Struthio camelus: one gene and its partner. The protein of the gene in region 1 binds, or shares a complex with, the protein of each later gene. Links are inferred from orthologs where the notes say so. Each region holds a gene or a part of one and is shown on either strand. Other genes may lie near its edges. The genes, in order: KCND2 and KCNIP1.

Region 1 (11,956 bases):
CAGAGAAAAATGTAATCTATGTTTTTTAAAGACGCTTTAATTGCTCAGCAATCATGCAGAACGGAGAAATATAGCTCTGCTTCGAAGATAATAACTCCCCAAATTGCAAAGGTCGCTACTCAATACCCTTGCTATCTAGAAAAATGTGAGAATGACACTCAGAGTCAAAAACTCAAATAGTTAGTCTATTATTCATAGCATAGTCTATTAGTTTTCATGTATTTTTATAATATTTCAGAGAGCCTGCTGTGTGCTACTATTATTTTAAAATTAAGAGATTTCAGCTAACTTTATTCCTAAAATAAAAAAGTTGTTCATATAGAGCCCAATTTTATAGCCCTTGTTCAGCAAAAACTAAAATTAAAAATAAATGGGAGTTCTACAAAAGTCAATGGTGACAGGATCTAACATAGAACCGAAGGCAGCAGTACTAATTGCAGTCAGCTTTCACTAACGCTTGCTGCTTTTCCTAGAATTTCCCTCTCTTTTTCTATAATCATTCCCTCAACTAAAGACAGTTGAAAGCTTTTGTTATGCAATTCAATTAAAATTATTCATATTTATTTAACATTTAAGCATAGTCTTTACATAGTTATCAGAATTTTTTAAAGGATATCATCTAGCTAATGTATTGGCTAAAAATTTCCCAGCAAGTTATGATGTCTGTAATATCTGAACTTGTAATCATATAGGAACTTGTAAGGCTGAAACTTTGCATCTCTGTGAAAGTTGCTCAAAACTTGCTTTATGCAAACTACTTCCAAAACTGAGTCAAACATCTGTTCTTTTTAATCCCTTTTCTTCCTCCAGGGACCTAAATATCGTGTGCCTGTGTACTTGAAAATAGGTTCTTGAGCTCTGTTCAAAGAGATTTTCAGTGTTATTCATCAGTACTCTTGAAATGGTATTCAGCGTACTGTCTCAAAACATGGAACTATGGGATTATACCAATTTTTTATGAAAGAGAAAAACAAGTTATATCAATGCCAAGTCATATCACTGACAAATCAATATCACGTCTGTGTCATATTCCATTACGAGCTGGCTATGCTACTTAACAATACGGTTCAGTACCATGGACAAGTACTGCCAACAACAATGTCCACAGTGGTGAACTCGACTTATGTAACAAATACCTTTCATTACAAAAAAATGCAGGCCATCTCCTGCTTTTTAATAATAAAATTGTATATTATAAAAATTGGTAAATTCTTATGACTTAACTTGCTGAAATCATCACAGTTCAAATGATAATTAAAAATATGTGGCAAATGTATCAGACAGTATCAGAAAGAATAGGACTGTGGAACTAGTTATCATGTATAACTTGTTCCTTGTGCTAACTTGTCCCTTTAGTTTGTCACTACCAGAAGAAAATGAAAACTAAAAAACCCAGCAACCTAAAAAGTAGATTAAAATCCCCAAAGCTCTTGTCATTCCTTTTTAGCATAACTTGCCTTCACAAGTATTATGAAATATTTACAATGTACTATATTTATCTTCATTTGTTATAGTGTGCTGAAGATAAAAGGCTTTTCTAAAAAAATGGTGGCATAATACAGTCCCTTTATCTTGTTCAAAATTCTATATGTGATTTTTCCAGCTGAATTATGATTGCATATAATAAATCAACTTTTTCCATAATAGTTTCATAATGCACTTTCATTTTGTTAAGCTTAAAAATTATACGTGTTTCATAAATCTCAACAATTTCAACAAGATGTGGCAAAATGTTTGACTAATAAAATGACGGTCCTCATCTTCATGAGAGTGAAAAGTTGTGTCTCTTAATACCTGTAATTATTAAATAGCTAGAAAATTTATAAGGAATCAAAAAATTTTCAGTTTCATAGCTGATACTATAAAGCCCAAAATTAAGAACAGGGCAACAAATTGTCTTCTCAAATGAGCCAAACTTTCTAAATCCCTTTTAGCATTACAGATAAACACATCGTACAGCCTGGTGTACAGAGTCAGCTGCTACAATGTGATTCTAGTATCAGTAAGAGACCTGTTATCTTTATAAAACAATGCTAGGTACTATCTCCTATCTTTCCACTAAACTCTATTGGAGTTTAGTGTCAACAATCTTTTGTTGACCAAGCATCTTTTAACTCCTAATTCTCTGGAAGAATTTCTAGTCATTAGAATTATGTTTTAGATATTTATTTGACCTGTCATATAAGTGTTTCACACTTTCTCAAACCTTTTTCCACACTGTGTCATAGGTAAGCAAAGCTTGACATGTGCTATTTACTTGGAGCTAAGCTGCAGTTCTATGGAAATCAAAGGGATTTTGTCCAATGTCTTAAATAAGATCAGGACTTTTTTTTTCCTGTGGAGATTAAGATTCTTTTTTATTTTTGTGAAAAAAAACCACCTTGCAGTACCCAAATCTATACCAAAGTCCCCATCAATACTTCAATTCAAACAAAATGGCAGATCCACATACTTCTATGCATGGTCAAATCAAAATATTGCACCTGTTTTCTTCTCATAACTATCACTACTTTAGCAACACTGCAACAAATCCTATCAGAAATCATACTATTCTACTAGAAATCCACTGATAACTCACAAATATTTAGAAAATCTTGCAATTTCACTATCCAGACCGAATAAACTGTCAGAGAAAATGGTGAAGAACCCAAACATAGTTTTAAGAATTACATTTGTTTGGGTTTTTCAATTCATGTCCAGTTTGGGGCCTGGGTTATTTTAACTTTAGCAACACTTTTAACTCACTTGCATATGTAAAGCATTTTAAAAGGAGTGCTGAGTTGTATTTATAAAGTTGAGGAACAAAAACTTACCCTTTCATTTCTTTCTATTAACATTTTTGAAATTGAGCATTTTCCATTCCTGGCAATACACTTGTTGAAATGTTGGCTGTAACCAAATGCCAGCTGCACTTACCCCAGTGTTGTCATGGTGACAATGGTGTACCAGAAGGCTGCAGGGATGCTGGTGAACTTGCTGGCTGATGAACCTTTCTCTGCATAGTACATGACTGTGGCAAAGATGATGATGGCCATGGTAAGCGAGAAGAGGAGAAAGCCTAACTCCGAGGCACAACTTTTCAGGGTGTAGCCCAGGATGCGCAGCCCCTGTGAGTGACGGGAAAACTTAAAGATCCTGAAGACACGAAAGACTCGCAGTGTCACAAAAGCCCCACTGACATCCTCGTTATCTGTCATCACCAGGCCGATATAATACGGCATGATGGCAACCACATCAATGATGCTCATGACACTGCGTACAAACTTGTAACGACTAGGGGCTGCCAGCAGGCGTAACAGATATTCAACTGTGAAGATCATGACACAGGCAGTATCCAGACAGAAGAAAGCCACAGCATAGCGCTCTCCACAGGGCAGCTCCTTGATGCGGCCTGGGCTTACCCCACAGGGCACTGTTTCCACCACATTGGCAATAACAGAGACAGCAATGAAGAAACCAGTGACATAGTAGAAGACCAGAGCCAGTGTACTGGTGTGTGGGTTTTCAAAGGCCCGCCACATCCTCTGCCGAGCTGTCATAGAGGGTAAGGAGCTCTCGGCTGCATGATCCTGATCAGCATCATCCTGCAGGCGCTCAGCGTTCTCACGCCGGCGATCCTTGTATTCCTCATAACAGCAGTCGCCAATGATCTCGGGGATGATGCCAAAGAAGGCCAGCTCCTCATCATAAGCAGAGATGCACTCTTGGCGGGGGTAATGAAGCTTCCCTGTACGGTAGAAGTTGAGAATGTGGCGGAAGATGTCAGGGTCCCGATCAAAAAAGTACTGCTGTGTCTCAGGGTGGTAGAAGAAGTCCCGCTCTGAACTGCCCAGCAGAGTGTCGGGGTAGCGTTCTAAGGTGTCCAGCCATGTCTGGAACTGGATACCACTCACGTTCAGCACAATCAGAGAGTCCTGGCTTCGCTTCCTCTCCTGCCGTGGAGCAGCTGGCATAGGACCTGTGGCCACTGGCATCCATCCTATGGCGGCTGCCCTGGCAAAGGGTAACCATGCTGCCACTCCTGCTGCCATGGTCCTGAACAGCTACTACAGCTGAGAGAGTCAGTTTAGAGACAGTTCTGGTATGGCCACTAAAACACAAAGGAAAAAGAAAAATATAAATGCTCACACGTTTTTGAGGCAACAGGATTCCAGAACGCTATTGTGATTCAGTATTAACTGGGCTGCTTAATCTTGTTTCCTCCCCTTCCTCGTCCTAGACTATCCTTTCCAGGGACTGATTAGCCAGTTAGGGCAATAAATCAGGACACCGGGAAATCAACATATTCAAAGCACCTACTACTCCCTAGCAGCCGGATCCTTTGGCGATGAGGTCCATACGTGGCCCCTCGATGGAAGTGACGATCCACAGCGCTAACCCCAGCAGCTGGCTAGCAGCCCTGGTGCATCGGTGCAGCCACCTGGAAGGAGATTTTCTTCCACGCGCGATGCAGCCGGGCCCCGCGCCCCTCCTCCGCTCGCTCCCCGCCCGCCGCCGGAGCCCGGCCGCGGCCGTCGGCGCAGTCCTGCCGGGCGGGCTGCAGCGGGGCCGCCTGGCGCCGCCCGCCCGCTCGCCGTGCCGGGGCGGAGGGGATGGGCCGGGCCGGGCCGGGCCGGCCGCCCCCTCCCTCCCCCCCCGCCGCTCCGGCCGCAGCCCTGGAGCAGCAGCGGGACGAATCCGCTCCCTGACCTTGATGGCTGCCCCCCGCGGACTCCTCCTGACCCAGGTTTGGGGCCGGGGGAGCCGGCGGGGCAGGGGGAGGAGCTCCGCGCGGCAGCATTAAACTTTAAGGCAAGTTTTCCTTGTAGGAAATGCGTTGAAGGGCAGAGGGGCGCAGGGGAGGGGGCACCTGGAGAGGGGCGAGGAGGGAGCGACCTGCAGAGCGGAGCGGGCGGGAGGCGAGTCTCCCCCAGCATGGGGCGCCTGGGGCTGGGGCAAGGATCGATCCGGAGCGGGGACAGCGCCGAGCAGGGCCCTGCTGGCGGGGGAGAGGAGGATGGAGCGGGGGCTCCCGAGGCCCCCGCTGAGGGTGCGATGCGGGGGACACGGGGCATCCTCGGCAGCGGCCGAGCAGGCGGCGAAGGGCGAAGCCGGGGGCGCCTCGCGATGGAGCAGGGCAGGGGCAGGGGCTGGGGCTGCCCAGAGCCGGGGGAGGCCGGGGCGGGCGCGGGGGCGGCGGGGAGGCGGGCGCGGGGCCCCGCCGCAGCCGCGGCAGGGTGCAGCTCGGCGGCCAGCAGCGGATGGTCTCCCCCTCCCGCCTCCTTCTCCTCGCCCCTTCCCCTGGCTCTGCTCTCGCATCCCTCCGGACGTGCCCAGCCTGCGGCACCTACCTGGGAAAGTCTGACGAGAGCGCTCAGTTGCATAGAGACTTTTAGAAATACAGGCTCTGCCGCGAGATCTCCGTGCCCCGCCGGGAACGGCGGGGAAGTAGTTGCTCCTGAGAAAGCTTGATCGCATCCAAAGGGACATCGATAATAAGGCTTTCCCCCACCCCCACCCCCCTCCGCCACCGCCGAGCGCCAAGCAACAAGTTCAAGGGGTGGGTGGGGGGAAAAAACAACGTAATCGCGCCTGGCAACTCAACGGAGCACGTCCTTTCGGGGAGCGGATCCTGCGGCGCGGGGCTGCCGTCAGGCGCGGCTGCGGCCGCTGCCCCTGCCGCGGGGCTGCCGCGGGGCTGCGGGCGGCGGCGAGGCCCTGGCGCGGCCGGGGGCGGGGGGGGCTCCCCGCTGCCTCCCCCGCGGCGGGCGGGCCATGCCGCCTGCCCGCGCCGCCGCCGCCGCCCGCGGGCTCGGGGCGCAGGGGCGGGCGCCGGCGCAGGGGGGAAGCGGGGCGGCGCGGCGCGGGCGCGGAGGGCATGGCTCCGCGGGCGGAACAAAGCGGGCTGCGGGCGGCCGCGCTGGCGGGGAGTGCCGGGGTGTGTGGGTGGGGGGGTGTCGGTGCCTGGATCGCGCGGTCCAACCCCTCCGCCGTCAGCGCCGCGCAGAGAGTTAGCGGTGTTTCGGGTGGGGATCGGGCTGTGGAGATGGCTTAGGTGAGGCAGCTAGGGAGATTTCTCTGAAGTGCTAGCTCCTCTCAAGGGGAGGGGAAGAAAGAGAGAAAGGGGGGAAAAAAATCAAATGCCTGGCAGTGAAGTGTTGCGAGGCTTCTCGACACCCGCTCCGAGCCACTCCGGCGTGCTCGCTGCAATATCCGAACGGCTCTTACCCGCTTTCAGACAGGCGAGAGCTGGGACGGGTATGCGAGCCTTTTCCTCCTTCCGTCCTTTCCGCTCCCGTGCGAAGCCGCCCCCTTTTTCCCGTCGCTAGATGGCGTGTGGATGACGAGGAGTGCGGGGCCGCCGCGGCCGGGCCGGGGGGCCGCGCGGGGCCGCGCCGGCGCTGGCTCCCCGCCGCCCCGCATCGCCGCCGCCGCCCGCCGCCGCGCTGCGCCCGGCGCCCTCCGCAGCCTCGCCAGCGGCAGATGAGCGCAGAGCAGCGCTGCGTCTTCGGGGGAAAGCGGTGACATAATGCCTCGAGCTTTACGTGCCCTTCTGCTAGCTCTGATGAGCAGAACGAGCTGCTTGTATTTTGTAATTAAAATGCTGAAAACACTCGGGTTCTTCATCACTGAGCTCGCGTCAAGACCTCAGAAGGCATTCCTCCTAATATGCGTTTGTTTCAGTTTAGTAATAACACGGAGGGCTTGCAAAGGAATCATACAGTAAATAGGCCCCTTTATACTTGAAGATCTGTTGACCAAACCTCCCGCTCTAATAACCTATCTTAGGCATGTGCCAAAGAAATCTAAAACAAAACGTGGAAACAGGGAAAATCAAGGAAAATATGAAAAATAAAACAAATACATACTGAAGCCTGGAAATTATCTCTTTTCTATATCTCAGTGATATGCTTGATTTCAGTGTGTATTAGCTTCTGTTTAAGTTTCCATAAAAAAGATGAAGAACACTATCAATACTGTAGTCTGTAAGCTGTTCCCATGAGGAATACTTGAAAGCATGCAGACAAAAAGATTAAAAAATGTTGAAGTGTAGTTCCTAAATTAGGAAGACTTATGATGGCTACAATCAATCACATACCTGAAATCACATGAAACAAAAAAAAAAATCACATAAAAAGAATACCTTCTGTAGTTTCACTAAAGATTTTTTTCAGGTGTAAACATTCAGCTGATTAATTCTTATAAATTAATCCATTAATTTGAAATTAGTTGGTCGAGATTTAAGTGTAGAGATTGCAATGATAATGATATGCTTCTCCCATATGAAGGAAAAGATGAGGATTTTTGATTTAGTGATACAAAATAACAATCCTATAGCAATTAATAAAGGCCAATTTATCGTCCTGTCAGCTCAGCACTAAGATAATAATGTAGGACTTTGTTTCCTGACAAATAGTCAAAAGAGGTTTCCTTTTCCACTATAGATTCTTTTTGTAATCAATACATGCTCTTATTTTTTAACCCGACTGGCATTACAGTAAACAGTTACTTCTTTCAATTGGTTTTTATATGCAGGTTTTTACAGAACCTCACTTGAAAACAAAGGTTTGGGGTTTTTTTTTTGTTTTGGGGTTTTTTTCTTCAATAGAGAGGAGAACGTGTTCCATTAAGAATCACTTTGATTCTTGTTGAAATCTTAATGTTATTTCAAAGACTTACCACGTTTCATCAGGAAAAAGAAAAAACAAAGCAATACATTTGGACAAGTGGGGGGATCAGGTAATGGTATAATACTATGCCTATTTTAAAACAGAGGTTTGAAAACGGTCCGGGTTCAAAGTTTCCCTTTTCTAATAGCATTGGCTATTTGTAAAGATGATCACTTTTTTTTTTTTGTTTTTGTTCTTGTTGCACAGCCTGTGTATCAGAAAAGCTTCTTTCAGAAATGGTATCATGGAAGGAAAAGCCAGAAAGTGTATTGGTAAGCATAGTCTACTACCTTCTTATTCTAGCAGAAAGTTCATTACGATTCTAGTGAGAAGCACTAACCAAGAAGGTCGAACTTTCTCAACTTGTGCATGGTTAGTGTCTTGAAAATGTCCGTCTGTTCTTACTTTGTACATTTCAGAGAGGTTAAATTCTAGTATACAAAGTGTATATGCAAGAATAAATTGTCTGTTCTTCTGAAGTCAAAGTCCTTCATGTGACATCACAGTTCAATCATCTGTGACATCAAGAGACTGGTGTTATGTGACAGGGAGGACTGTTGACTTCAACTAGGAATTAAGTAGCTGGATCTCAAATAAGACAAAAATCCTATTTTCAAGCTAAGAAAATAAATCCTAGTAATTGTAAGACCAGAAAAGAATGGTACTAAGGGGAATGAAACAATACATTCTAATACGAGCTGTTTCTAAATTCTTTCCAAAGTCATGAGCTACAAAGAACTCTCTAAGGATTAAACAGCTATAATGCATATGTTTATATTAGTGTATTTAATTTTTTCAAAATATTTAGAACCTTTGAAACCAAGAATTTCCTTCACAAACTGAATTATGTACATTCTCTCTTCATAATTCCTTTAGTACTAAGCTTTCCTTAACTGATAGGGTTTTGAAAAAAAGAAAAACACAAATATTCAAAGCCACCTTGTAAGTCTCAACCTTAAGAATTAGCTATACCTCTGATTTCTTTCTTTTTTTCCCTCTTTAGTCTAGAAGGTAATTTCACAATTCTTGCATTCTTATATTAAGACATACTGGTGCAGCGAATACCAAATGCATAAAATCCTGCAGAGGCAACTGGGTTCTGATTATAAGCTATTTTCCCCCTCTAGGATTAGTAAGAATAGTCTCCATAACAAAGAACGTATTTACGTGCTCTTTGGTGAAAAGATGGAAAGGCCTTTTCTCTTAATTTATAGGAATCAACATTACTCAGTCTTCCACAAAATGCAGCGGTTTCTGCCCAGAGCCACTCTGGTTACTACTAACAGAATATTCTATTGATCTGCCTCTTTTGCTTCATATTTTCCTTGTTTGCAGGTCTGAATGCTTCTCAGTCTAAGGCGGGGGAGGGATTTGATTTTTTTTCTCCAACAGAGGGAACCTGAGAGACCTTCTACATAGAAAGACACTAGTATAATGCTTACTACAGTGTTGGTCACTTAGGCTCACTCAAGAACTGCAGTCACTAGCTTAAGAATGAGTCTCATACACAGATGAAAATGTTTGATTTTATAGTGCAAGTCAAATAAATCATGCTTTGGTCACATGCAACTAATGAAAATATACATTTTCACAGTCTGCAATTTCCTGGCCTTTGTAGATTTATCTCGTTTAAATCTAACTAGGTTTTGTACTGTGGGCCAGGCAGATAGGCAGGAGGGTTTTGATATGGGCATAATTTTTCAAAGAGAAAAAGTCATCTTTATTGAAGGTTGCTAAAATAGGCTCAGGTCACTCTGCAGTGCCTGTGCTTGTCATCTTTCTTTCTATCTGGAGAAATAGATTGCTCTGGACCTTAAAAAATGACCTCCCACTGGTCAAGGATTAAGTCATACTGTGGGGGAAGTGCCCAACATACATCATTTCTTTTAAATTCTGAAACCGGCCTGAGAGTTAGCATAGCCTGAAAATTAACCTGAAAATAAAGTGCCTTATCTCTGTGGAAAAAGTTTTTTTTGTGCATTTAATACAGACTTAGTAGATGGAAGATGAGAACAGAGCCATAAGCACTGTGGTTTCTTTTCTGCTTAAGGTGAGGTTAAGGTGATACTTGGTATAGTCTCAAGAAGTTTGTCTCAGTTTTTCAAAGAAGGGCCTGATTTGATCTCAGATATTTTATCTGCTCTAAATCAACAAATACTCTTAGTAATTGTATATGTTTTTCTTGATGTACAGGAAATTATAGAAAAGATTACTTCTACTTAACTATGTATTAGTCACACTAAGCACTGGGAATTCGTCTTGAAATTAGTGGTAATTTACCCACCAGTAAAATGGTAAATACAAACTTTTAAACTTTGCTTTAGATAAATACATATTACTAATTTTAAATTCATGTTTTGGCTCATATAATATCATCAAAGGAATAGTTGTTTCATCTATATAATGAGACTCAATTTCAACCTATTTAGCTTTAGGCACCTGTGATACCTAATGAAGAGCCTGCTCAGCCTAACTTCCTGGAGCCAACAGAGAGAAATAATTCCAGAGACCAAAGCATTCCACCTACAATCTGAGTGTATATATGCAGGTATCCGTTGACTATAAAAGGAAGACTGGGATGACTGTAATCCTTAGCTTAGGAGTCTTAGTAGGACATTTGACATTAGGCAGGATGAACCTGAGACTGACAGCCTGAGCCAAAGTTGGCTGGAGTAAATGGCAAAACTACCCTGGACTTAAAACTGCCTTTAAGGTCACATCCTTAGAAAGAGAAACTAACAGTAAATTAATGCAGAAAACTAGCTCACCTCTTAGCTCACATTCCTGGATACATTGAAACGCTTTGGGAAGTCTGCTTTGAAAGGTATGCCTCTCACCAGACTTATTCTGTGCCCATGTGGCCACATTTCTAGTCACATGAACAATCTCCAGTATCATCAGATACTCACCTTTCACTTCCTAAGCACTAAAAAAAGAAAAAAGTAATAAAAAACCCTCAGCATCGATAAGAAGCTCTATCTTCTCATACCGAACTGTGACGTACTAATAAAGTACTTAGTTCTGCTGAATCTCTGTCTTTAACTATGACATACAACTATATCACAATATAGCCCGTTTAACTATCTGACAATATGCCATTTCCAGTAGTCAGTTCCTGCTCTTTTTTAGATGTATAGTTTGCTACTTCTATTTGTCCTCTTTCTCTGCTCAGGGTTAATAACCTACTCTAAAATTTGACTCTCATCATTTTGTTGAGCTGTTGGGTAAAACATATATAAGACGTGACTGAAGTTCCTTTTTCTAAGCTGGTTCTCAAAGACCAATACACATAAGTGCTATATTGCAGCAGACAGACAACATCTGCAGAATTCTTAATCTATGATTCAGTCATGTCCATTCCTTCATATATTCCTTCCTGATTCAGAAGAAAGTTTGTCTAAACTGAAGGACCAAAGTAGTTCAAAACATAAATAAGACTGAGGAGTTCAGTTTGTTTTAATTAAGGCCTTGGATCCTACTTTGCACATTAAATTGAAACTATTCAGTGATGGCTCCAACCTTATAGTAGTGGAAAGGATAAATGGGATAGTAATGTCAGTCTCAGTGGGAAAGGAATGTCTAGGAACACGTTTATCAAGGAGAGCTGTAAGATCTGCTAAACAAGCATGATTCACAGGGAGTGACTCTACAGTGAAAGAGACATGAGCGGTCTGTGTTTCAGTGTAACCACAGATTGGATAGACTCCTCTAAGGTGGTGAAGAAGTCTTGGAGAAGGAAATAAATCTGCACAAGCTTGGAAAGCTGGAACCTTTCCAATTTCAATTAAGGTTACTTTTCTTCCTTAAAAGTACCCACAGACAAAGATTAAGGCACATTTCAGCAGAATCCAGATTCTGGAATCTAGTAGATTCTGGAATTCCAGTAGAAAAAACTCCACAGAATAAAGTTTATCTCCCCTTTTTCTCTAGCTTTCAAGTTTTAAGTTCATATTCCTTACTCCAAGCCACCCGTAGCTCTGCTGTCTTTTTCTATATACTTATACTTGTAAAAAGGTATCTGGTCAGTAGATTTATGAAGTCTTTGCTCCATTTGATGATATGGAATAGATACCGATTTCTGGCTGAAGAAAGCAAGAAAAGGTTAGCGTCCTTTATATTTGCTTTTATTTTAATTAGCTTGATCAATTCTGATTAAAATTTTGGAATTGTGGTAAATTTGTGGAAAATAGGGGTTAGTAAATCAAACTTTGTAAAACTAACACTTTTATCTTGTAGGAGTTCCTCTTTTGATTTTTCTTACCTCAGTCTTTGTAATGGATTTTGGCAATTTCTTGGAGGGTTATATA
Region 2 (11,956 bases), on another chromosome or scaffold:
AACAAGAGGTAAGAAATGCACTAGAGGATTGCCTGGAGTCTCACAGCCAAGAGCTGTGAAGCTGGGAGTAGCGTTTGGCTAGATTTATGTTTTCCCTCTTTTCAACAGAAGCTCTGTGTAATTTTCCGTGGTGTGGCGCAGCAGCCTTTCGTCTTGGAGTGTGATTGTATTTAAATCTATGCAAGAGTCTGAAAAAGCATCCAGGCTCATCCTAATCTGAATTATGGCACTGCCAGTATGCTTTAGCAAGGTTGGCGAGTTTAGCTCAAGAAAAGTCCAGGACTGGAATATGAAGAGCGCTCGAAGCTTGAACTTTGGCCAGTTTCTCTGTAGGAAGCTTGCACGGCAAGCCCTGTGCTCTGCGTGGAAAGAGGGATCTAGGCCCCAGGCTCCTCCGTAAGGATGGGCTCTGCTGCACAAAGCTCCAGGGCAGTCAGTGGGGCTTTCCACAAGCAGAGGTGACCACCTGTGACTTCCAGGCTCAGGATGTCAGGCTACTCTTAAAAGATCAGAATTTTTACTTTAATTTACATGCACTCTGTGTGTATATGTATGTGTTTCAGACTAAAGGTTTTGTACCCAGCCCTTGCTTCTCTTAGTTTCTCATCTGTGCTTTAAAAAGCCCATTTTAGTGTGCATGCTTTTTCATAAGAAACCCTTCTTCCCCTGGACTCCTGTATAAATAAACAATTAGAGTCATGTTTGACAGACGGGATATTAGACAAAGAGATGACCCAATTGGAGTGGACAGTTTGTAGAAAATACTGATGTGTAGCAAGCTATATGCTCTCCTCTGCTGAGGAACGCTGCCTCTTAGTCTAGAGATAACTACTGTGCCATTAAAAAAAGTTGTGTAATGACAAGGAAGTCTCCATGCACTGTTCCAGTGGCTCTGATTGATTGATAATACTAACTGGAATTACAGAGTGCGTGAAAATGCAGTACGACCGTTATCTTCCTTGGTAGCAATGCAGGAGAGCAGTGGTGAAGATAATATCAGGGCTGGGATGCTGCTCGAGTGCTGGAGTGGTACAAAGGAGATCTCAATTCTGATCTTCTCGCTGCCACTTTCTGTTCTTGGTAATCATAGGGAAGTGAGTTCATCTGGTCATATGACAGTTTACCAAGTTCTAAAAAGGGGGATATTAATACAAACTTCCTTTGGAAAAGCATCTGGAGAAATGCTAAATATATTATTATTAATGGTATTATTATTGCAAATAATAGTAATGACAGGGGACGTGATATGCTCAGAGCTCTATCCACACAGGCTATATGTATTCGAGTAAGCTGGCTGTCAATTCTTCATTTCAAGTAGGTCAATTTTCAAAGCTACCCTTTGAAGCAATACTCCCTGTCTTAGTCATGGGGCAATAAAACTGTTAAGTGATGTTGCATTAATTACCTCTAGATTGGAAGTAACCTAGGACACAGCTAGTAGGAACAATTGCCCGTACTCATTAGACTTACTTCCAAACAGATCATCAGAATCGTATTTATGGCCTATCCTGAGACACTTGTGTCTTTGGGAGTGCAGTGAACATGATACAGTATGTCTGTGTCAACACTTTGGGACCCAAGAGCACACCCCAGCTCCTCTCCAGCTCCATATCGGGTGAGACTTGGTGCATACCAGCTGCTCCCATGCCTCTTTTCTCTGGGAAGAAGAGCTGGCCGCCCAGGCGGGGAAAGAATCTGTGGCTCCAGCTCCAGCCACGTCTCCAGTTCTGGCAGTCAGGACATCAGGGCCTGCCGGGGGGGGGTCAAGGCTCAAGCTGAATATGCTGAGATTGAAAACACCATTCCCATTGCAGGAGAAAAGATCCTGCTCTTTCTCTCTGGATTCATGGAACAGTTTGTCATATCAAGATGGAAAAATTTAAGAAAAAAAATTATGGGAAGGAATTGGAGAGGAGGAAATTTCTGCAGTGATGCCCTCTCCTAAGCCACAGGGAATGGGAATGAGTAGGATTTGCTTCCAGGTGTGTGTGTGTTGGGGGGGGGGGGGGAACGACTTTATGGCTTCCATGCAAAAGTCTTTTGGCAGCCAGATATAAGAATGGACCAGACCAAATGCCTAAGCAGTTGATGACTGTCTCTCATAGTGGCAAGTAGCAGTAAATTAGGGAAAGAATATAAAAAAAAGTGAGAGTGTATCTTCTGTCAGTGCATCCTTCAAGATCCCAGGATCCATGATGTATCCCAGCTGTCATCCCCTTTGCCCTTCAGCCTCCACAGCATCGCTACAGTATCTATCTGGGATGAACCTGGTAGGACAAATGCTGTACCCTTACATCCCTGACAGCAGGTTGCCATAGAACTGCTCTTGACGAACCTACTGCACCCACAGAAGAAAAAAAGGGGGGAAATTTCCTTTATGCGGGAGAAGGCAGTAAGAAAGCAGGGCATCCAAGTTCACAGTCTGTTTATTCATACCTATCCTGGAGATTATGCTCAAGCATTTGCTGTGTGGTTTCAAGTTAAGGGATTAAATTTTCTCCTGATGCAAATAGGACTGAACTGCCTTTGATGTCAGTGGGAACCGCAGTAGCTGAACCCCTGCTTGAACTTAGCCCAGATGAGTCTTATATACTCAGAGAATGCTTTCACCTCTCACCCACCCACGCTGCGATCCTCAATGGCAAATTAGGAAAGAACAATTTCCTACAATGTACTTGCTTTTATATCCCTCTGGGATGACAATTATCATGTTATATAGTCCTCTCAGATTTTATAAGCAGAAAATAAAACTAAGCATGGGTGTGAGTAAAACAGTTACATTCCTGAGTACTGTGTAACTACCGTATTCCCTTATTAAGCATGCTGAAAATGAATGTAAAAGAAATTAGAGGATTTATTCTGTGTATTGTTTTGGAGTTTGTTACATCAAAGCCTTCAGGGAAAAATACTTTCCCCTACATTGCAACCTTCCCTTTGAATAACCCTACCTTTGTATGCCTTTCCAACTTTGACTGACCTGCTTGGACTTCTGATCAAATAAAGAAATTGCAGTATCTATTTATACTGAACGGCCCTTATTGACTTTGCCATCAGGGATAAAACACCTTTTTTTTTCCTCAGAGAAGTTCTCAGCCAGTCACTGAAGATCATCTGCCTGCAACTAGAATAAGGTGCCTTTGTGCTCTCCCACAGATAACCCCAGTGAGGATGCAAGGCTCTCCATGACCAGTCTCTTATGCATCATCTCATTCACTCATTCAGGATGTTGACTTTTGCCTCAAAACAACAGTTATAGCCAGTCTTCATTTTCCAACACGCTGAACTTCAAGTAAACAGCTTTGTGCTTTCTCTTATACTGGTCCTTGCAGTCAAGAAGCATCTGCAAAACACCATTAATCCTCCTGCCTTCAAACCTTCTTCTCCCGTTATGGGTACAGGGCACTGTGGTTAGCCTGTGCCAGCACTAGCCGTGGTCATGCTGTGCAGCTTGCCTTATAGTTTTCCCGTGCTTCCCCCAGTCTGCTTGACCGTATCCAGTGTTTTCTCTTGTTTCACTCTTAGCTTTCTTGGATAAGAACCATCCTTTCTGTTCTAATTTTGTACTGCACCTAGCACCAGCGGAGTCCTGGGCTTCAGGAATCACTGTACTACGAGTACTAAGTCATTTCCTCAGTAGTAAAGAATATGGAACGGCCAGAGCAATTCTGTGCTGCTGAACTCTCATTCACATGTACTGTCTATGAATGTTTCCCGCATATCTTTATATCTGAGTATTTTTTAAGCTCATCAGCTTTGGTACTACATGCAGAGGGTCTTTTTTTCGGCTGCTGAAACTTGTGCTGGAGGCCTGGCTAACCCCCATTTCCCAGAGCGCTGGGAGCATGAAGCTCCAGCACCCTGCTGAAGCAGGTGCAGCTTTTATGCAGTCCTGTGGCTAAGGTGATGCACTGCTATGGGTTACAATTTGTTTCTTTTTCCCTGTGGACTATGGGCCAAAAGAGGCCAGCAGATCTTTTGAGATGAAATCTGGTTCTCCGGGGCAAATTGGGGAGTCAGAGAGGCTGAAAGTGTTTTCTAGGGTATGACACAGTCGTCTTCTTCCCCCCACTGCCTGAGACCTCTCTGCCTCCATAACCTTCCCATCGCACTTGCTGTGTCTGTTGTCCTCTGACTTGTGACGTTTGGGTTGCGAAAGGGTAAGTTACCACCTTGTAACTGAGTCCTTTGCTTTCCAGCTGTGACAGTTTCTCAACTAAACCACTTTCTGACCAGGATGAGGGTTTTTCAGCCAAATTTTGAAACCAGCTGGGATGTGCAGCAATGTATTTCCATTTGTTTGTTAAAACAAAATAAAAATTTCTGGCAATTTTCAGGCAATTTCTGGCATTAGGTAGCTTGATAATCTTTCCTCTAGGCAACCTAGGTGTAGCCAGGAATATCTGCCCCCTTCTTCCTCAGTTAAATGTGATCACGATACATATAAATGCAATTAAGCGTGTTGCAAATCCTTGATATACACTAAATTAACAACCAACTGATTCTTTGATTTCCACATTGACATTTTACTGCCTTATTACATTTTTTTTTTCCTTTTGAAGCATCACGTTTCCAGCTCTGGATTGTCTCTCTGGGGATAAAGGACAGCCTTGGAGATGGCTTCACGATGGAGTTACTTAGGCCTATATGTCTACAAGTCTGCCACTCATTTTGGGTGGTCACGCAAGGCTTTCGAGCCAAGAATGGTCTAGGCAAGCGGCCCGGTGGAGCGTAAGCAAGGAAAGAGCAAAGACTTTCTGGAAACTTCTGGAGAAACGTGGCCGAGAGGCTGCAGGGCAGGACAGCCCCGGAGGGGCAGCCGCGGGGGGGGCGGTCGGGCGGACCGGCCGGCCGTCTTGGCAAGCAGGAACTGCTCTCTGCTGGTCACTTCCTCTGAGGTTTATTTTGAGGTTTTCAGTCGGGGAATCTGTTCATTTGGGGAAAAAAATGAAAAACCTAAAGCCGAGCTTGAGGTTTTTTAGCTCCAGATGCAGCCCAGGGAAATTCGGCGCGTGGTAAAACATCCCCGCCTCTTCAGGGCCGGCTCCACGGCGATGGACTTGAACTCGGCTTTCCCCGACCGTTACTCAAGCCGGTCGGTGCGTAGTTTGCTCTTGGCGCGCAGAAGTCCGCTCTCCTGAGGTAAAAGGAGGCAGCGCGGAGCGGCTCCGGGGCGGCCGTGGTCTCCCGCGGCGGCAGCCGTTGGCCGCACTCGCGCCTCAGGCGGGAGCCGTTGGCCGCGGCCCCTCTCGGCCAGCGCTGAGTCAGCGACCTACCGGGCGGCAGCCTGAGGGGAACCCTTGCGACCGCCCCTGGGACAGGAAAATAGCATGGTGTTTTGGGGCTGTCTGGAAACACCTGAGAGGACTTAGGCATGAAATAAAGCCTGAGGCTGCCCCCCCCCCCCCCCCCCCCCGCGCCCAGTGCTCAGGCGGGGCCGCGGGCGCTGAGGCAGCGCCGCTACGCTGGACACAACAAACGGAAAAGTAATTTTGCTCCACGTATTCCAGGCACGCAGAAGCGATGGGCTGAATGGGAGACGCCAGAGCCGCGGCTGCTGCTGGCGGGTAAATCCACCAGGCACCTGAGGGAGAGAGCCGGGGGCGCTGGGCAAGCCTGACGCCGCGCTCGCTCGCCCGCCCGCCCTCCCTCCCCGCGCTTCGACCAGCTGAGCAGCATTTCGGAGGGTAAAACGGCCAGGAAAGAGAGTTTTGCGGGCGGCTGGCGAAGGAAGGAGCGCTCCGCGCCGGCAGCGCGGCAGGACGGGTCGCGCCCGGCTCTCCCGGGGCCCGACGGCGGGAGATCGCCGGCTGGACTGCGGCTGGCTGGGGACGGCGCCACCACAGCCCGGCGCGGCGCGGCGCGGCGGCCGCAGCCCCCTCCGCGCGCCGCCGGGGAGGGGCGGGGCGGGGCGGGCTGGCTCCGCCCCCTCCCCGCGCCGGCACCTGCCGCCAGGGCGCCGCGGCGGCACCTGGGGCGGGACGCGCCTCCCCTCCCCTCCGCTCCGTCCCGCAGGAGCCCGGCGCGGAGCGCGGTGCGAGGCCGGCGGGACGCCCCAACTTGTGGAGGGCACTCCGCGCTCCCCGGCCGGCGCGGGGGAGAGGAGCGGCGCGGCGCGCTGGAGCCATGAGCGGGTGCTCCAAGAGGTGCAAGCACGGGATTGTTAAATTCGCCCGGACCGTGTTTAAGCTCATCACGGGCACGCTCAGCAAAGGTAAGGGGGAGCGCCTGGGCTCGCGCGGCTGGGCAGGCTGCCTTGGCCGTGGGCTGCCAGCGGGGCCGGCCGCCCCGGTGCGTGGGGAGCCGGCGTGCGGGCTCGGCGCTCCTGCCCCGTGTCGCTTCGGTGTTGGCGCCTCTCGGAAGCGGCCTCGGAATCTGGGTCGCTGCCGCTTGCGCGCTCGCCGGCGCCTGTCACCGGCGCCTCGGGCCCCGCGCCGCGCGGGGGGAGCGGTGCCGAGCGCCTCCTCTCCGCCGCGCCTGAAGAAACAAACCCGCCGGCGACCTCGGCCCTCCCGCCCGGCTTTCCTGCGGCAGGGACACCTCTCCGCCTTCCCCGCGGCCGCTCCTGAGGAAAACGGAGGGTTTTCAGCTCGGCCGCCGGCTGCCGACACGTGGGCAACGTTTAGGTCAGGCTTCTCCAAGTTCTTGCTTTGTTTCCTTGGGTTTTTTTAGACGTGGTAATAAAATCTAGACCAAGTTATTGGAGGAGGGATTCTCATGAAGCTGAAGAGTCTCTGTTATGATGCATTTATTACGCGTAAATGTCTGAAGCTTTTTTGATGTTTTCGTGGTGGATCAACAAAAGGGAAGTGTGTGTTTTCCAGATAATTTTAGATCCCTCAGAGGTGTTGTATGGTTGCGTCGGCTGTCAGGAGCACATGTGCTCCTGTGTGAATTTTAATGTTTAAGTTGTTCTTAGGGTAAACTCAGTGCCCCCCGAGATGACTTTTGAAATGCCAACTGTGGAAGTGCCAAGAACTGAAACGCTGGTGTGGCTTCTCTGTGCAGAAACTGGGGGACTTCCTCGGTCTGTCCTGTCTATCTGGGAAACACATGCGCTTCTAAGGTGACTTCTTCATGTTAGTCTTACTGACTTTCAGAAGAAACCTGCACAGCAAAATGCTCTGTTCGAAACACAAATACTAGACATGTTTTAAAAGTCACAATTAGTTCAAATTTACATCTTGTTTTTAATTATTCTTTTGCCACTTACATTTGTTCTGTCATCTGTCAAAGACCAGCAGAAGAGAGAGACTAAGAACTTGCCTGACATTGGTTATAACTTGCAATTAATGCTGAGATCTCCCCTTTAAAACAAAGGAGAAATCCACCAAAGAAAGCATAGTGAAAGAAATTGCATACTTGCATGGCTAGAGCAGAGAAAGCAGTGGTATGATGCATCTGCAGGGGCTTGCCCTCTCCAGTGAATCCACATGTCAGCGCCTATGGTGTTTTTTCTAATTTGTGCTTTTTTGGGAGCTAATCGAACTTATGGTTTATACTTCTGTGAGGTGCTGGTAGTAGCTAGCCACAGCTGATGAACTTTGTGCTATTCGCATGTGCTCTCCCTAGGGCAGTGAGAAACCTGCGTCCTGGTCGTGTTTCCTTCTGTGGTCAGCTAGCGCAAGTCAGCTAATGGGGAATTCACAAGCAGCCCTTGCATCTCTGCTGCCAGGCTTGCTTTGGCAAAGCAATACATCAACGGTTCGGTTTGAAAATAGAACAGCACTGTGTGGGGGGCTAGAAATGACAGCCAAGTGTCCAAAATCTACCCCTCCCCTGAGGATGCCTGCCTTGTGCTTTCGTTGTCTTTCTACGTGGTAACCAGTGCCATGGTACCGTTCCGCTCTGCCATGGCAATGGCTCGTTTCGAGTTGCTTGGAGTAGATAAGAATGGCCTCCTAGGATGCAAAGAGCTTACACTTTTTTTCTTTCTCCCTGCTCAGCTGCTTGTTTTTGAACTGCAAGAACTAGATTCAGGAAGGGATAAAGCACGTGAATGAGCTTCTTGCATGGATATCAAAGACCTGTTTTAACTAAAATAAACGCTTTCATATCACTAGTTGTGAAACTCCAACTAGAAAGAAAATGATTAGAAATCTTACTCAAAAATGTTGATTTCTATTAAAAAAAAAAAAAAAAGCTGAAGTTTACTTATACATTTATTCCAGAATTTATTGTTTAGAATTTCTTCCAGTCAAATTTTTTGCATATAAAGCCAAGATGTGGGAACTATTTTATATTGCTATTATGTACATTTTAACTTACACCATCTACATGCTCTTGAATATTCAAGAACTATCTCGTGTTCTTCGCGTCACTCCTGCTGTTTCGTTACCTTCATACTACTTAATACTGTTTATTTTTACTTTAAACACGTCTTACAAGAAAATCCTTTGTGAGGCACAAGATTCACTATGTTCTTGTGCCTCCATCTCTTTGTGGTTTATTGGGGTGTGAGCTACTCCAGAGTTCAATGAGATGCAATTCCTAGCTGAATTGTATGGCTTCTGCTTTTCTTAATAGTAGGGTGTTTCCCCCCCCCCCCCTTAACTATTTGCAATAATAGAAGGAAACTGTTGGGGCTGCACTTGAAGTCGTTCCTTTTGCAGTGGGATGTGACGAGATGGCAGCATCGCTCTGTAGTGGGCAGTATGGGAGCAGGCACAGCTGGTGCTGCCGTGTGGTAGTCGGTTGGTACGGTCTGTGCGGATGTACATCGGCAGCAAGCCTTCAAGGCTGTAAGCCAAGAAATTCATAGCTAATATCTCTGCAGAGCTGGACTAGCGAATCTCACCTATTCGCCTATTAGTGCATTCTTATCTGGAAAACCTTGGTGATGGATCAGAGGTCCCTGCTGCCGTGTGAGAGAAGGTCTCTTCCACAGAGCTGGATGCGTTAAAGACTACATGTATAAAGAAGCACATCCCTCTTTAGCTGCTCAGAGCAGAACAGCTGTGTTCTCCTGACTGGTTTGGATAGAGGTCCAAAACTTGAAGGGGAGAGCTCAGACGAGACTCCTGGAAGCGAGTTGGTGTGTTTACAGCCCGAATGCGAGCAGCAGCACCTTAGCCACAGTTCCCTTGTTAAAACAGGTTTTTGCATGAGGATGTGGTGTTCTTTCACCTTATCCCTACTGCGGTATGGGAAATGGTAGCTGATCCTACGTGCCCTGGGAGCAAACAGGGTAACTGGTAAGACTGAGTTTGGGATTTCCCATAGGTCCAGATGACTAAAGAACAAACTTCCTGCTCAGTGTTGGGACCTCAGGCTGTGTGCGGAGATATTGCTGATATCATTAAAACGCTAATACAGGAAGGCCTTGCTGAGCAACCAGAAATCGAGCTGAATTGGGGCCTCTTGGATTTCTATTAATATGTTATCAGTGCAAGAAAAGCAAAATTATTTTAGGGAGCAAATCCTTCAAAATATTCCTTATGAAAAGTAGATAAGCTCCTGCAAGCCAACTGCCCTTTGTTCCTGGGTTGCCCCTCTTTTAGTTGTGCTGTTAAAACGCTTGCCAAAGGCTCTCATTTCTGTTTTCTTGCTTCTTCTGTCTCTGTTCTGCAATGCAATTCATCTGGAACTCGTAATTTGTCCATTTTTCATAGTTTTAATTGCCTAATTATCTGCTCCAGTGCAGTGATAAAGTCTTCAAACATCTTGCTCTCCCCACAGCCTCCCCAGCATGAAAGAAGAGTATTTTGAGTATATGACTGCAATGTGATTTGTTTTGCAGCTTCTTTGTGCCTCTAAATTGCAGCTAGTCTTCTGAGACCTTACGTGAGATGGTAAGGAAAGCGCATGGTTTCTTACAGTCATACATGGGCTCTGCCTTCTCTCAGTAGAGATTAATCTTGTTCTTTTGGTGCATGCTGGCACTGTATTAGATTTGGCTTTGTGGTCGCAGGCTCTGCAGTTGCGAGGGCAGGGTAAATGCTGCTAGATGCCCTAAAGACGCAGGGAGGTTCACTGCAGTTATTCAGGAGATGCCGGGGATCCTGCACCTGTGTGTCATACTGAAAGACGTTTTGATTCTCCTGTTGCTGTCTGGCTCACCTTCACCCCTTCGATTCTGGCTAACGCCCCCGGATCTAGGGAATCTGGGATTCACAGGGCTCTTAGAAGGAACTGATACAGCTTTTCCTTCTGAAACTTCCTGCATTTTGTAAATATTCTTTAAGTAAAGCAGTTACAGGAGCTGGATGAATGATACACTTTTACCGAGTTTAATACTGAGCAGTTATTAGGGTTTGTCTATGTGTTCCCATGGTCCTGAGAAACAGGAGAAGGTTTCTGTGCCTAAAGTGCTGGTATGAACCCTTGGTCGGAGAGGGGCTGCCAGGGCGAGGGGCAGAATACTTGTCTGCAGTGCGTGTCTTGTGGGGAAGAGTCTACGGCTAGTGACGCTTCACTGCTCAGCACCTGATCCTCGCTCCGCTCAGCGAGGCCCTCCAATTTCATTGTCTGCATGCTAGAAACGCTGATGTGTGTGTGTGTGTGTGTGTTTAGCCAGCAAACCTAGTGATGTTCTCTCCATGCTGATGAACCCTTGCGTCTGTATGAGTCACTAAGGAAAATGCACTTCCGATTGGCGTGTTACACGTTTGTAGGTGTATGAAAAATGAACTGCAAAGAAACGTATCAGTTCCACAAAGGCTGCACTAGTTAATCTGTATATATGTCTATGTGTACCATTTCCTTCTCCCCTCTGAAGCAAGGTGAGTTTTAAGAACTGAGAATGAGAGGAAGTGGAAATAGTCTGTTACTCCTTTTCAAACCGCTTATAAACCTGTGCTTGTGGAGACTAATACCTCTGGAAGTGGCCAAGTAGTTGCATATGTGCTAGAAATACGTTAAGAATGTCATTGTTTGCAATGATGTAGCCCCAAAAGTGAGTATGTAATGTCAGTTATGCAGAAAACAAGAAAACATGATCTTGTTGTCTGAGAAACAATACAGGATGCTTTTTTGTAATGCTGTTCCAGTAAGCATGTGTGGATGTGGTGTCTGATAGCTAGGACTGCTGTTAAACCCTGGGACTAGTCAGCTATCATGTCAGTGAGAAAATGAGGTTATCTTTCAGCATATGAACTAATGACAGTAGTCACAATAACCATGATGTTTCTAAACTGAACATACTTGGAAAGATGTTAAGAATATCAGTTTAAATGTCTTTTTTTTTTTCTCTTGTTATGTGAGTTCCCAGGACTATATTCATAAAGAGAAGATTGTTTTAAGTTAACTGATGGGTTATTCTGCAAATTCTGTAATAGAAAACAATGTAAAGGATAAAACAATAAGGTAATCCTACTGTTAGATTCTGTTGCATTGCCACAATCCATGAAAACTGAGTATCCTGGAGTGTGTGTGGGGGGGGGGGGGCAAGGGGGGTTCTGTGGCTTTTAACCTGTGAGCTACACTCGAAACGAGCTACTGGAGAATGGCTTAAGGAATTTATATCCATGCTGCTGCAGCTAAATGGATATACTAATTTACCTCATATGTATGGTCATTTAAAATGGAGCAAAATGAACATGCCACAACACATTTTGACCTAATTGACCATGTTAGGACCTACCTAATGAATAAGTGCAAGTAGATAGCTCTGGAACGTAATGTAAGTGGATAGCTGCATGACTGAATTTTGTTAGGAAAATGTATTACATCAAAATAAAATTAGCTTGAATCAGCATGTGAAGTATAATTTTGTGTGTATAGGTTTTTTTAATAACATTTACCTTTTCAATAGCATGATCATCCTCTAGGAAGCTTCAAGAAAAGACCACCTTAAAAACATTTGGCAGCAAGTAGCTGCGAAGTTATCTCCAGTGCTAAAGTTCTGTGGGTGACAATATGGCAAAGCTTGTCAATCTTTCCTATATTCACAAACTAATCTTGAAGCGCAAGTCAACTCTACTTGTTTTGGGGTAATATATTTTTATGCCTTTTTAGGAAT

What was found.
Region 2: the proteins of KCND2 (region 1) and KCNIP1 are in contact, whole or in part, in a cryo-EM structure (PDB 7E8E), measured with the Homo sapiens proteins. The link is inferred for Struthio camelus from reciprocal best matches to the Homo sapiens genes KCND2 and KCNIP1. Residues at the interface, in NP_036413.1 of Homo sapiens: Ala2, Val5, Ala7, Trp8, Pro10, Phe11, Ala12, Arg13, Ala14, Ala15, Ala16, Ile17, Gly18, Trp19, Met20, Pro21, Val22, Ala23, Ser24, Gly25, Met27, Ala29, Pro30, Gln33, Arg35, Lys36, Arg37, Thr38, Gln39, Asp40; in NP_001030009.1 of Homo sapiens: Thr60, Arg62, Glu63, Val66, Leu67, Arg69, Gly70, Phe71, Asn73, Glu74, Phe85, Ile88, Tyr89, Gln91, Phe92, Tyr101, Leu105, Phe109, Phe122, Leu126, Leu129, Leu130, Lys137, Thr141, Leu144, Tyr145, Val162, Ile165, His185, Phe189.

Annotation. Positions count from the first base shown.
Region 1 is NC_090942.1:26,678,390-26,690,345, forward strand, and holds the start of KCND2 (A-type voltage-gated potassium channel KCND2), read right to left. Parts: upstream 6,293-11,956; 5' UTR 6,208-6,292; intron 5,438-6,207; exon of another isoform or gene 5,331-5,437; intron 4,465-5,330; exon of another isoform or gene 4,300-4,464; intron 4,091-4,299; 5' UTR 4,032-4,090; coding exon 2,917-4,031; intron 1-2,916. UniProt on the Homo sapiens protein: Voltage-gated potassium channel that mediates transmembrane potassium transport in excitable membranes, primarily in the brain. Mediates the major part of the dendritic A-type current I(SA) in brain neurons.
Region 2 is NC_090954.1:19,313,894-19,325,849, forward strand, and holds the start of KCNIP1 (A-type potassium channel modulatory protein KCNIP1), read left to right. Parts: upstream 1-5,974; 5' UTR 5,975-6,123; coding exon 6,124-6,211; intron 6,212-11,956. UniProt on the Homo sapiens protein: Regulatory subunit of Kv4/D (Shal)-type voltage-gated rapidly inactivating A-type potassium channels. Regulates channel density, inactivation kinetics and rate of recovery from inactivation in a calcium-dependent and isoform-specific manner.